Linked DNA regions of Daphnia pulex. The protein of the gene in region 2 purifies or fractionates together with the protein of the main gene of each other region. This does not show direct contact. Links are inferred from orthologs where the notes say so. Each region holds a gene or a part of one and is shown on either strand. Other genes may lie near its edges. The genes, in order: SWI/SNF complex subunit SMARCC2-like, trithorax group protein osa-like and brahma-associated protein of 60 kDa-like.

Region 1 (4,208 bases), on a different chromosome or scaffold from region 2:
GCTTCCTTCTCTTCGGCCAATTTGTCCGCTTTCTCCTTCTCCCTCTCGGCCTCCTCCTTGTCTTGAACTGTTCCAGCAATTCCAGATTGGGCCAAAGCGGCCACCGAGGCGTCCGATTTGCCTTCGCTCAGAGCATTTTCGACGTTCTTCAAGTGCGTTTCCAGCAGGGCCGATGGAACTTCGTCCTTGATCTTGGCGAATTCTTCCATCGCAGCTTTGGCAGCAGCGGCAGCAACTCGTGGATCCACAACTGATGCCAAAAACGCCACCGTCGACATGATGGGGTTGCCGGCCTGGCTGAACGGAATGGGCTGATAGGCCAAAGGTCCAACAGCTCCGCCGCCACCCAATTCAACGTCTTCAAAAAATGGATCCTCGATAGGAAGGCGAAGAAAGTGGAGAATACATTCATCCTGGGTGCGAGTTCCAACGTGTTCGCAGACTTTGTTCCAATCGTCCTTGTACAGTTCCAAACCCTCGAGCAGGAGCAGCGTCTCCTGTTCCGTCCACTCTCTGGTTGCCTTGTTCTTCAACACGGACGAGCTCTTACGGCTGTATTGGTCCAGTTTCAGGCCGAAATTATTGGCCACGGGAGCTGTTTCGGATTGGCGAGCTGCCGTCTTCTTATCCATGTCGATCAGAGTCTTGGCCGCTGATGGCTGCGTTGTCCGAGGAGGATTGACGGGCTGCAGACCTGACGGCGTGTCAGAGAGGATGTGAAAGTGCGATGTGGGTGGTGGGCCGACAGGCATCGGGCGTGAATCCCCATCCACCTGGTAATTGACGAGTCCCCACTGCTCCAAAAAGGCGTGAACGCGCATAATGGCGCAAACGTCACCGGCCAAATTGCGTCGACACGCAGTGCTGGTCAAATATTCGGTAGGATTCAAGCGATAGGTGTCGATCATAAAATTACGATACGCCAAATAAACCTGAAAATAAAAGACCAAATGGGTATGACTTGAACAAAAGAAAAACCAAAATTTCATTTTACCTCTGGAGTCTTTGAACGGTTTTTGCCATTGAAAAATTCGGGCAAGGCGCGACGTTCGATCGAGTGAATCGAATTGTAATCAAACCAGGCAGCGTAGCTGGGAATGATGATGTGGTGAGTTTGGTCGGTGACATTATCGTCATGCTAAAATGGGGGAGGTGAATAAATAACACGGCTGGTTACTCGAAACAGTTCTGGAAATTTCCGACCAAATAATAACCTGTTGTAGCAGTACCTGCTGCCCGTGCGGATCGTCTTGTGGTGTGACTAATGTGATATCTGCCAACTTTTCACCTTCTTCATCTAAATCAGTCAATGCAGCTCCTAATTTCAATCAAAAATACAACAATGACACTACAATTAACAAAAGAATAAATAATCTATAATACCTTTAGTGGGCATCCAATCGGCATCTTTCTTAATAGCCGTTGGAGGAGGTCCGCCCGGAACGGGATGAGTCTTTGGCACTTCGACTTCGCGGAGATTAGTGTCTGAGGGAGGATCGTCCATGTCTCGTGTAAGATCGTCGCTGTCCTCTTCGCCACCTTTGAATTTTTTGCCCAAGGCAGGACGGACACTCTTGCGCTTGTTTCCAGCACCACCAGCAGTTGTGGGAGTTGCAGCGGCTTTAGTCGATCCACTGCCAGCCGGTGAAGGAGACCTTCTCCGTTTCAAAGTGGAAGGAGTTTTCCCTTTTTGTTTACTGTCACCGCCACTCATCAAATCCTCAACGGACAATCGAAGCTTGTGCACTTTTTTCTTTCCACTAGCATCGACTTCGTAATCCTCTTCATTCATCCACTCGTTGTATTGATCTAAATCCAGCAACCAGTTGGCGGCAACTCGGTAGGTTTTGTGAGGTTCATTCAAAGATTCGAGATAGTCTGAGAGCTCTGGAGGATCGACAGGTAATTCGATCGTATCCCACTTGTCGTACGAGTCTGGGAAGTAATACCTAAGACATGACACGTTGTATATTCATGGGTTCAGAACTGTTGCTTTAACTGAGGTATACCAATGAAGCAAAGTGTTGCGATCGCGACGAAACAGTGGACGGGCGTACTCTTCTTCGAGTGGATCAGCAGCCGAATGAACAAGATGTGTTGCTTCAGCTTCAGTCTCTGCGATTAACCCTTGATGCCTTTTGACAATTTCTTTCAGTTTACCTAGTGAGACATTCAAAGGTCATGAAACTGTTAACACTGCATTATTATATGACAACAGCACTTACCGACAAGTCCTTTATCAACATCTGGCATGATGTAAATATTAGGCTGAACAAGACATTTGGCTTGAATCAGTGCTTTCTCTATCGCAACCATCATTTCAATGTGGCGTTCCATTCTGGAAGGAGAAGCAAAATCCATGCGCCTCCATCCATGGTCAGTACGATACCTATTATAAAGATCAATATGAAAAATGTCAATAACACTGAAGCATGCTACAAATAAAGAGTTACATACTTGTAAACAGTAGCCAAAATCTGGCAGATGCCGCCATTAGGCCTGAAGTCTAGGAAGCATTTTGTAGGAATCCTTGTCAAAGGTGGTTTAGCCACATTTTTGCCATAAGTATCTTCTTGAAACTGGATAACTTGAGTAATGGAAGTTGAAAGACTTTTGGCTGTTGGAGGGTCTGTTTGAACATACTGAAACAAGAGGGAATGAACCGGTCAAATGACAGCGAAGAATTAACATGACAAACGGTGATTGCTGCCGGTGAATATTTACCTTTTTGCAATTTTTTGAAAGCCATGCTTTTACTCCTTCGAAAAGCAACAAAGTTTCGTGAGACTCGTAGAATTTTAAATTTGGTCCTCCGTCTTTTTTCGGTGCGAAAGCCATCTTTGATGATGCTTTTGATGCGTCTTCTTTCACATTCAAGGGAGGGAAGTCGTTTAGTTTCAAACGCCGTCACTATTTATACAGAGCCATCTATCGTTAGGAAGTTGAAATAATTTTTTGTCTGCTAGGCTATTTCAGTTTTTCTGCGTACGATGGTTCCCAAACCAATGTTTTGAAATCACGTAACAGATTATTGGTGAACTGATAATATGGCAGAGATAATATTATAGAAATATAACGTGACTGATTGACACGTATTTTTCTTTCTCTTACTGACCATTTTTCCGGTGACCCATACGGTTGTGCTGCTATGTTTCTGAGAAAAATCGCATCTCAAGGTTCGCCGACAAGGAGCTTATCCTTCATAGGAAATTTACAGCTGTACAGAAAACTAGTAGGGATACACCAACTTCATTCTGAAAATTTTTTTAAACCTACATTTTTTATTAATTTTTCCAGTCAAGAAACTCAGTAGGAAGTTGGAGCCCATCAGAGGCATCCACATTTTCTCCAAAAAAAGCCTTGGTATTGACAAAACTATCTCGCTATGAATTTGAGAAGCTCAGGCACAAGAATCTTGATGAAAATCAATTGGAGCACGCCTTACGAAAGCGAGGATCTGATTACAGTAATTCTTTCTTTACTTTAGTTGTTAATTTAATACATACTTATAGTGTTTATTCTCTTTAGATATGTTACTCTACCATCATACTCTCCATAAAAACTGTGAAGCCATGGTGAAGAGTATCTTGGAGCAAAAGAACATTGAAACAAAAGTTGTGACTCGCTTTGATTACAATGAAAGTAACATTAACTGGGCTGATGTTATCTTTACTGCTGGAGGAGATGGTACATTTTTACTTGGTGCAAGTAAAATCCACGATCCTACGAAGACGATAATTGGTTTTAATAGCGATCCTACAAGATCCGAAGGCTACCTCTGCCTCCCGAAGAAATACTCTAATAACATCAAGAATGCCATTGACAAGCTACTTCAGGTTAATTCCTCGTCCTTTTTATCTCTTCCAAACAAATAGTAAATTTTGTTGTTCATAGGGAAAGTTCCGTTGGCTTTTTCGCAAGCGTATCCGCGTGACACTCATTGGCGATAAAATTTATGATGTACCTGTTGAGCTGCATGATCAGCAGCTTAATCAATTAGAAAACCGATTTTTAGAGATTTCCGAGTACCGTGACGAGGTCCCTAAGTCAGAAGAAAGCATAAAGAACAAACGAATTTTGCCTGTGAAAGCTCTCAACGAAGTACAGTATAAAATTTGAAAACACTATTTCAATCAAATCAAAACTAACTTTAAATTTTCGTTTTACTTGTACAGGTATTTATAGGCGAAGCTCTCTCCGCTCGAGTG
Region 2 (3,662 bases):
CCCAAGGAGCTCCGACTGTCTGAACCGGGCCAGGACTATTGCCCTGCTGTGGGTATTGGTTTACGAACGGCGTGTTATTCCTCCAGCCTGAATAGCAAGAAACCAAGAATGAAAAAACAACAACAATTAGTTTCAATTGGCTGATCGACATGACATGAATAGCTGACAAGCGGGTGCAGTACTGCATTAGTAGCAGGCATGCGATTAACGAAACACAAGACAACTGGAAAGAGTGCTGTCACTCGCCTGTTGCAAGATTGCTACTAAAACCCATGACTCCACCCGTTCCACCACCACCACCACTTGAGGTAAGATCACCGGAACCGGCCAAACCATAAGGTGACCGGTAAGATCCGTAAGGATCTGAGTGGATCGCGACGATTAATTAAAGTAAGAAAAAAAAGAAACCCACATTAGAAAAAAAAAATCAAATTAAGATTTAATAAATTTCAACAGAAGAATCCATCACCGCTTACTAGACACATAGTACACGTGAATGAATTCCTTACCGAATGAAGGTTGCCGTGGTTGGTTGGGCGCCTGACCAGGAGGGCCGTAAGGTGGATAAGGCCCTGGTCCTGGTTGTTGCTGAATCGGGGCGCCGGGCGTAGGAGGAGCATTGGGATTAGGTCCAACTACTGCGCCACTTACTCCGCCAACCGGTGGATTCAGACCGGTCGGAGTGGGTGTCGACTGGCGAGGTGGCATACCTGAAGGAGTCGGCCCAGGAGTCCCCGGTCGAATGAGTCCTGGATAAGGCTGACCAGCAGGTGGACCCAAATTGGATGGTGTGGTTCCACCCGGATAACCCTTTCAAAAAAATAAACGTCAATCATTTAGGCCAAAACAAAATATTCAGAATTGGAGTAAAAGAAAAAAGAAGAGATTTTTTGGTTGTTTTTTAGTGTTGTTAAAAAAAACCAATCCAGCAATCAACTATCAAGCACTACGCAAATTAGTTTTGAAAAAAGAAATAATGATTTAAGTAGAGAAATGGGGAAAAATTAAAACACATACAGGCTGTCTATCAGAAGAAGGCGGAGCCAACAAGGTCGACGAGGCCAACAATTGGCGCAATCCACTCCGCTGTAGTTGCAGATGAAATCAAAATTATGATCGGAGCGGATTAGAGAAGAGGAAACAAAAAACGAGATAATGAGAAATAAAATCGAAATAAAACTAAACAGAAAATAATTACTAATCAAATAGAAACAGCAAAATAAATTAATACACGAAATTGAAACAAAATCTATCAAGCATCGTGCGTGTACTTTGTTACTTTTGGTTAGTCATGCTTAAAAAAAAAACAGATGGCCAATCAAAAGATGGATAGCATTCTTCTACTTTCGTTAATACTTTGAACTACACGAGGAGGCAAATTCGTAACTAGAATAAATAAGTTACCTGGTACGGATCAGTTTGTTCTGGATAACCAGGTGTTCCCGCATTGGGTGCCGGACTGGGAGCTGGACTGGGTCCAGCACTGGTATTACCCGGCTGTTGCGTCTGAGGAGGCTGTGATTGTTGTTGCTGTTGAACGAGCGGTTGTTGTTGTGGCTGCATGGATTGTGCGAGGGGTGACGGGGGTACGGATTGTGACCCCGTAGAAGTCGAAGTGGCTATCGTCGCCGGACTTGGACTCGGTGTCGACGTGGGTGTCGACACATTAGTTGACGCCGTAGGAGGCACAGGCGGTCGTGGAGGGTAAGGCCCCGATGCTGTTGCAGCTCCTGGAGCGTGATTAGGAGGCATAAATCGGCCGTAAGGATCCGAAGGTGATGGCCCAGGGCCTGGCCCAGGAGGGGGAGCTTGTCCACTCGGTGGCGCTTGAGGGTTGTAAGGTTCCGGGTAGGGCGCTGAATACATTGTTCGATTTGGAGGAGTCGCGTACGGAGGATACTGCTGGTTGTTTGGGTTTGGGTACTCGTTTTGGTACGGATGATGATATCCTCCCTGGTTTGGATGATTGCCAGGGTGATTAGGATGATTGGGATGACCCGGATGGCCAGGATATCCTCCAGGTCTACCAGCCATTGTATTGTACATTGAAGGAGGTTGCTGTTGCTGCTGCTGCTGTTGTTGTTGCTGCTGCTGTTGTTGCTGTTGTTGATGTTGTTGTTGCTGCTGAGCAGACGGGGGAGGAGGCTGTTGGTGTGGCGGATAGCCGGGATGTCCACCGCCGCCTCTGCCACCATAGTGTTGTTGATCATCAAATGGATTGCTTGCGGCAATGTTTTCTCCAGCATGAGGCGGAGGATAACCAGGATAGTGTGCATTGGGGTAGCCATCCATAGACGGGATAGGCGGCACTCCAGAAGACGGGAACGAATCCTGACTGTTGGATGATCCAGCCGGCGAGGGCACACTTATTTTAGGAGCCGGTTTCTTTTTGGTTGTGGCTTCCACCTAAAGGGATACAGAAACGGTCGATTAGCACAAAGAAAAACATGGCTAATAGCATCGAAACAAAAACCCCACTGAGCTACTGATAATCCACGACATCTGGGTCGATTCGTTTACTAAAATGCGTCAGTTTTTGTCAAACAATCTCGAGTATTGTTATTGTGAGATAAAAACTGACTAATTCTGATAAAAATTTCGGCTGCTATGCGCTGTTGTCGGTTCATTCTGTAATCCCACTTTTTTCACACGCACACACAGAAAAATAAAATAAAACCAAAAAGCCTACTGCTTTTCGATTCGCATTATTAAAGTACAAATTATACATCTTTTTTAAATGTGGGAATAATTTCTCTGAAAATGAACACGAAAAATGTAAAAAAAATTAAATATCGCTATTAAAAACTTCGAGACAAAACCCTTTTTCTTGTAATAAAAACCGCAACAAAATGACGTACCTGATTGAGTATGGGCTGTGGATCGACGCCTCCTCGGTCAAATTTGCACTCCCAAGGGAAGAGGCTTTTGGTGTAGTGTTTGCGTAGTGTATAGGCGGCGCTGGAAGAAGCACCGATTCCCAGCGTCTGAGCGATGTCTTTCCATACTTTGTTCTTTGTCACTTCCACGAAACCTCCACGGTCCCGAACCAGCAGGTACAAACGGAAGAGGTCCAACGGATTCTTGGATATAGTCGGGCAGGCCGTAATGGGACTGCCCTTCTCTTCCATGAAACGCAGCAACTGATCGAGGAACTTCCTTCGATCAGGATGATCATCAAAGTCATACATCCGCGCAAGCGCGTCACTAACATGCGACGTTTTCTGGAAGAAAAACAAAACGTGAAAAAGTTTGTTAAGTAATGAATAAAAAGCAACTGATTCATACCGGAGAAGATGGTGTAGGTCGCGTAGAGACACTCCAGTTACCGACACCTGGACCCGGACTATGTACGTCATTGTAATCTTCGTGCTGGGAAGATAAGGAGGCCGGTCCCGGGCTGGGAACGGTGCTCTGCGGCGTTGGTGGGTGACTGAGCATTTGGTGCGGCGGCTGCTGAGAAAAGGGCGGATGATGGGCGGACGGGGTCATTGGCATCGAGCTGGTTTCTTTGCGCGAACGTGGAGTCGAAGGGGCCGAAACGTCGTCACCAGAGGCCGCCGACGTGTTGGACAGCGTTGATTGCTGAGAGGCTTCGTCCAGTCCAGCCACACCGTCCGGTCCTGTCGTCACCAAATTGGTAACAGGAGAAGCTGCTGACGGAG
Region 3 (4,380 bases), on a different chromosome or scaffold from region 2:
GTGGCATTCATTTGGAACTATAGCAGCTCTATTGCAAGATATTGTAAGCATTTATCCAGCAGTAAGTCCACCTACTCTTACTGCTCAACAGTCCAACAGAGTTTGCAATGCTCTTGCTCTTCTGCAATGTGTTGCTTCACACCAAGAAACCAGATCTGCTTTTCTGCAAGCTCACATCCCATTATTCCTCTACCCTTTTTTGCACACTGTGAGCAAGACACGGCCATTTGAATATCTTCGTTTGACCAGTTTGGGAGTCATTGGTGCTCTAGTTAAAACTGATGAACAGGAGGTTATCAACTTTCTTCTTACAACAGAGATAATTCCATTGTGTTTGAGGATAATGGAAACTGGATCTGAACTGTCCAAGACTGTTGCAACTTTCATACTTCAAAAAATTCTCTTGGATGAAACTGGTCTGGCTTACATTTGTCAAACTTATGAGCGCTTTTCTCATGTTGCAATGATACTTGGTAAAATGGTTTTATCATTGGCCAAAGAACAGTCAGCTCGTCTTTTGAAGCACGTTGTCCGATGTTATCTTCGTCTTTCTGACAATCCAAGGTAAGGGACTTGCAAAAACCAAAAAGGAATTTTCGTATTGATATAAAATTCGACTATATTTTCTAGGGCTCGTGAAGCGTTGCGACAATGCCTACCTGATCAGTTGCGTGATAGCACTTTCTCAACATGTCTTAAAGATGATAAGTCAACTAAACAGTGGATGGCGCAACTTCTAAAAAATTTGGAAACTACTAATGGAATGGTAGATCCCCGAATCACCGGTTTGCCCTCAATGACTCAACCATGAAATGTTAAAAAAGAATGAATGCTCTTGTCTTGTCTTCAGCGAAAAATCGATCAGAATTATAATACAAACTTGCTGTATTGTTTTTTATTGCAACTAATTTTGCGGTTTCTGCTGACTTATTATATAAATTATAAACACGTGTTTCAGAGAATGTTAAATTTACTTATAAGATGTTCATTTGAGGATACACGAAACGGTGATTTCATTTTTGTTCAGTATCAATACGCAATATAAATTTGAAGTGTTATGTAAAAATTAGGTTCAATTTACTAACGCGAAAGACAAGGCGAAAGATGTAGCACGGGGCCACGGGTGTAGTGTCAAGACGGTTCAAGCTATCTATCTCTGTTGCAATATATTTTGTGACGATAAAAATGTTTTTGTTAACTGCCACGATTGCTTTTGGTCCTAACTTTTAAGTCTTAGATTTTTAATTGGTCCAAGTATTGAAAAATTACTTACTATTTTGTATTTTTGCAAATAATCGAATATTATCTGAGTGCACTACCGTAAAATAAGAAATTAGGTCTGAAAATTAATGAATAATGGGAATGGAAAATAAATAATATCAAGTTCGTTCGCGCAACCCGCACCCTCTGAACATTCCAAGAGATTCCAAGCTGAATTTTTGTACATTTTATAGAAACAAAAAAACCTTGAATTGTATGCTTTTTGGCCGCTACGTGGTGTTGAGGGAGGTTTATAGACGCGGTCAACAGATGGCGAATCAAAGCTTCAAACGGCAGGTTCGACCGTTCATCTCATCCGTAAAAAAGCAAAAGAACACTAAGAATTAAATAAGTAAATAATCGAAGAAAAAGTATATCTTAATTTTTGGTGTGTATTGTGTCGATCGCCGTTTTGACGGTTTTATAAAATGCAAAATACGAACGCAGCTACAGGAAGACCTCCCTTTCCTTCTCCGGGGAGTTCTATGCGGTTCAACTCTCCAAATTACCCTGTAAGTATAGTTTCTGTTGTCTTCAATTTTACAGTACCAAACCTTGATGTCATTCAACTTTCATTTTATCATAGCGCCCGGCATTCAATCAAATTCAAAACCCTCCAAACTCTACTTCTTCAGCAAGTCCTACAATGATGGGTCAAAGACCAAACATGATTGGGAATCCAACACCTCCAAATTCCTATAGTGGACAGCCTGTAAGGCCTGGTGGTCCCGGAATGAGCCCCCAAGCTTTGGGACCAGGGAAGAGACCTGGTGACATGAGAGCCCCTAATCAAACAGGAAAACTGTAAGAAATCAGATTATTTCTTTGTGTCCTTAACATCCAAGTATTAATGGTTTATATGTAGTGAATATGGCCCTAACAGTGCAAAGAAAAAGAAAAAGCTTGCAGACAAGATTCTTCCACAGAAAGTTCGAGATTTGGTTCCTGAATCTCAAGCTTACATGGATTTATTGGCATTTGAAAGAAAATTGGATGCTACTATTATGAGAAAACGTCTCGATATTCAAGTAAGTTGAAGTAAAGATTTCTTTTACACGTGTCAGTAATACTTTTAATACTTTCGTTTCAGGAAGCTTTGAAAAGACCCATGAAACAAAAACGAAAATTGCGTATTTTCATCTCAAACACATTCTACCCTGCTAGAGAAATGGATAATACTGAAGATGTTGGCGGAGGAAGCGGGGTTGCTTCTTGGGAACTGAGAGTAGAAGGACGACTTCTGGATGATGCTGCCAAATCAGATCCCAATAAAGTCAAACGGAAGTTTTCTTCGTTTTTCAAATCTCTCGTCATTGAGCTTGATAAAGACTTGTATGGGCCTGATAACCACCTTGTGGAATGGCATCGAACGTCTACTACTCAAGAAACGGATGGGTTTCAAGTAAAACGACCAGGAGATCGAAATGTACGGTGTACCATCTTACTTTTGCTCGACTATCAACCGCTGCAATTTCGTCTCGACTCGCGTTTGGCTCGTCTTCTTGGCATTCACACTCAAACAAGACCCATGGTAATCTCTGCATTGTGGCAGTACATTAAAACTCACAAACTTCAGGTATTATTCATAGCTGTTACAAGCCATGTGTCAAGAATAATCTAATTTTTTTTCTACTTCCTTACTACCTTAGGATCACCAAGAAAGAGAATTCATTCGTTGTGACAAATATATGGAACAAATATTTGGATGTCCTAGAATGAAATTTGCTGAAATTCCACAAAGATTGAATCCTCTCTTACATCCCCCTGATCCAATTGTTATCAACCATTTGATAAGGTACTTAGAAATTAAAGAAGAGACCATTTTCCATTTTATATTAATTTTATAACTTTTTTCTTTCAACAGCAGTGTGGAGAGTGCAGATCAGAAAAAAACTGCCTGCTATGACATTGATGTAGAAGTTGATGATACATTGAAAGCCCAGATGAATAATTTTTTGCTTTCTACTGCAAGCCAGCAAGAAATTCAGGTTTTTTTTTTCTTCCTGTCAATTACTTTGGCATGTTAAGATATATCTAATTTTTAATTTGTGGATGTAGAGCTTAGACAACAAGATCCACGAAACGGTTGAAAGCATTAATCAACTGAAGATCAGTCGAGAATTTTTCCTTGGATTTGCCCGAGATCCGCAGCAATTCATAAACAAATGGCTCTTATCTCAAACAAGGGATTTGAAGGTAAAAAGCTAAATAAAAAAATTTACAAAAATGTGTTGGATAAATTTAAACGATGTGTTTTTGTTTTGTTTTTTGTTTTCAGACTATGACTGACATCGTAGGAAATCCCGAAGAGGAGCGACGTGGAGAGTTTTACGAGCAAAGCTGGACCCAAGAAGCCGTTTGCCGATATTTTTACAGCAAAGTTCAACAAAAGCGTGCCGAATTGGAACAGGCATTAGGCATTCGTAACAATTAGAATGTTACTACTAAGGAAAACAACTTTTGGTTGGACATCGTTTATGTAAGCCAACTGTGACCAAGTGACAGCAGATTAAAAGAAAAATCCCGAGTTACTTATCGTGCATTTGCAGACTGGTAAAATAACAAGGAAACTTTTAACTTTCTTCGAGTATCGTGAATCCTAATTTGGGTCTAAATACATGGTGTCTTAAAATAATACTTCATCATTACTATTGTTTGCCACCCACGCAAGTAAAGAGATTCAGACCTCTCGATTTTTATTTTTTTTAAATTTTTTTGTTTGTTTGTTTTTGTGTTTATGCTTTTCAATTTTTACCGTGTGTCCCAAATCTAGGTAGCGCTTTTTCCTTAACTTAAATTCGCTTAAATTTAAGAAGGAAATTTTAGGCAGTGCAGGGCTCATCTGATCTATCTGATAATTTTAGAATAGTCATATGATGCCATGGGTGAACACATTTTTACTAAACTCGTAGTAATTGATGCATTAATATCAGTCTGGTTTTTCTACTGTGCTCGAACGCCCGACCCATTCAAAACAAATAAACTATAAACTATCAAGGGACTGTTGAGTAATCGATAAGTATTGGGGTCATGGGATCGGTTCAATATTCCTTCGATGAAGAAATTGTTGTAGTAGGAAACTGATAAATTGATCTGATTCGCCAAGTATCTTTATTTGCG

The links.
Region 1: the proteins of trithorax group protein osa-like (region 2) and SWI/SNF complex subunit SMARCC2-like purify together in Drosophila melanogaster (affinity purification with mass spectrometry; 3 studies listed by BioGRID, with this or other methods). This does not show direct contact. The link is inferred for Daphnia pulex from reciprocal best matches to the Drosophila melanogaster genes osa and mor.
Region 3: the proteins of trithorax group protein osa-like (region 2) and brahma-associated protein of 60 kDa-like purify together in Drosophila melanogaster (affinity purification with mass spectrometry; 3 studies listed by BioGRID, with this or other methods). This does not show direct contact. The link is inferred for Daphnia pulex from reciprocal best matches to the Drosophila melanogaster genes osa and Bap60.

The regions. Positions count from the first base shown.
Region 1 is NC_060024.1:13,930,759-13,934,966, reverse strand, and holds the start of SWI/SNF complex subunit SMARCC2-like, read right to left. Parts: upstream 2,839-4,208; coding exon 2,725-2,838; intron 2,643-2,724; coding exon 2,458-2,642; intron 2,390-2,457; coding exon 2,226-2,389; intron 2,161-2,225; coding exon 2,010-2,160; intron 1,950-2,009; coding exon 1,384-1,949; intron 1,319-1,383; coding exon 1,230-1,318; intron 1,139-1,229; coding exon 995-1,138; intron 933-994; coding exon 1-932. Other genes in the region: NAD kinase 2, mitochondrial-like, read left to right, coding at 3,149-3,232, 3,298-3,466, 3,529-3,836, 3,895-4,101, 4,176-4,208.
Region 2 is NC_060023.1:7,296,549-7,300,210, forward strand, and holds part of trithorax group protein osa-like, read right to left. Parts: coding exon 3,286-3,662; intron 3,222-3,285; coding exon 2,859-3,221; intron 2,407-2,858; coding exon 1,405-2,406; intron 1,087-1,404; coding exon 1,018-1,086; intron 811-1,017; coding exon 510-810; intron 364-509; coding exon 247-363; intron 88-246; coding exon 1-87. UniProt on the Drosophila melanogaster protein: Trithorax group (trxG) protein required for embryonic segmentation, development of the notum and wing margin, and photoreceptor differentiation. Required for the activation of genes such as Antp, Ubx and Eve.
Region 3 is NC_060018.1:7,203,699-7,208,078, forward strand, and holds brahma-associated protein of 60 kDa-like, read left to right. Parts: upstream 1-1,509; 5' UTR 1,510-1,688; coding exon 1,689-1,772; intron 1,773-1,846; coding exon 1,847-2,064; intron 2,065-2,125; coding exon 2,126-2,288; intron 2,289-2,350; coding exon 2,351-2,836; intron 2,837-2,909; coding exon 2,910-3,055; intron 3,056-3,124; coding exon 3,125-3,248; intron 3,249-3,318; coding exon 3,319-3,456; intron 3,457-3,538; coding exon 3,539-3,694; 3' UTR 3,695-3,895; downstream 3,896-4,380. Other genes in the region: CCR4-NOT transcription complex subunit 9-like, read left to right, coding at 1-564, 631-811. UniProt on the Drosophila melanogaster protein: Involved in the recruitment and site-specific anchoring of the Brahma complex at specific promoter sites.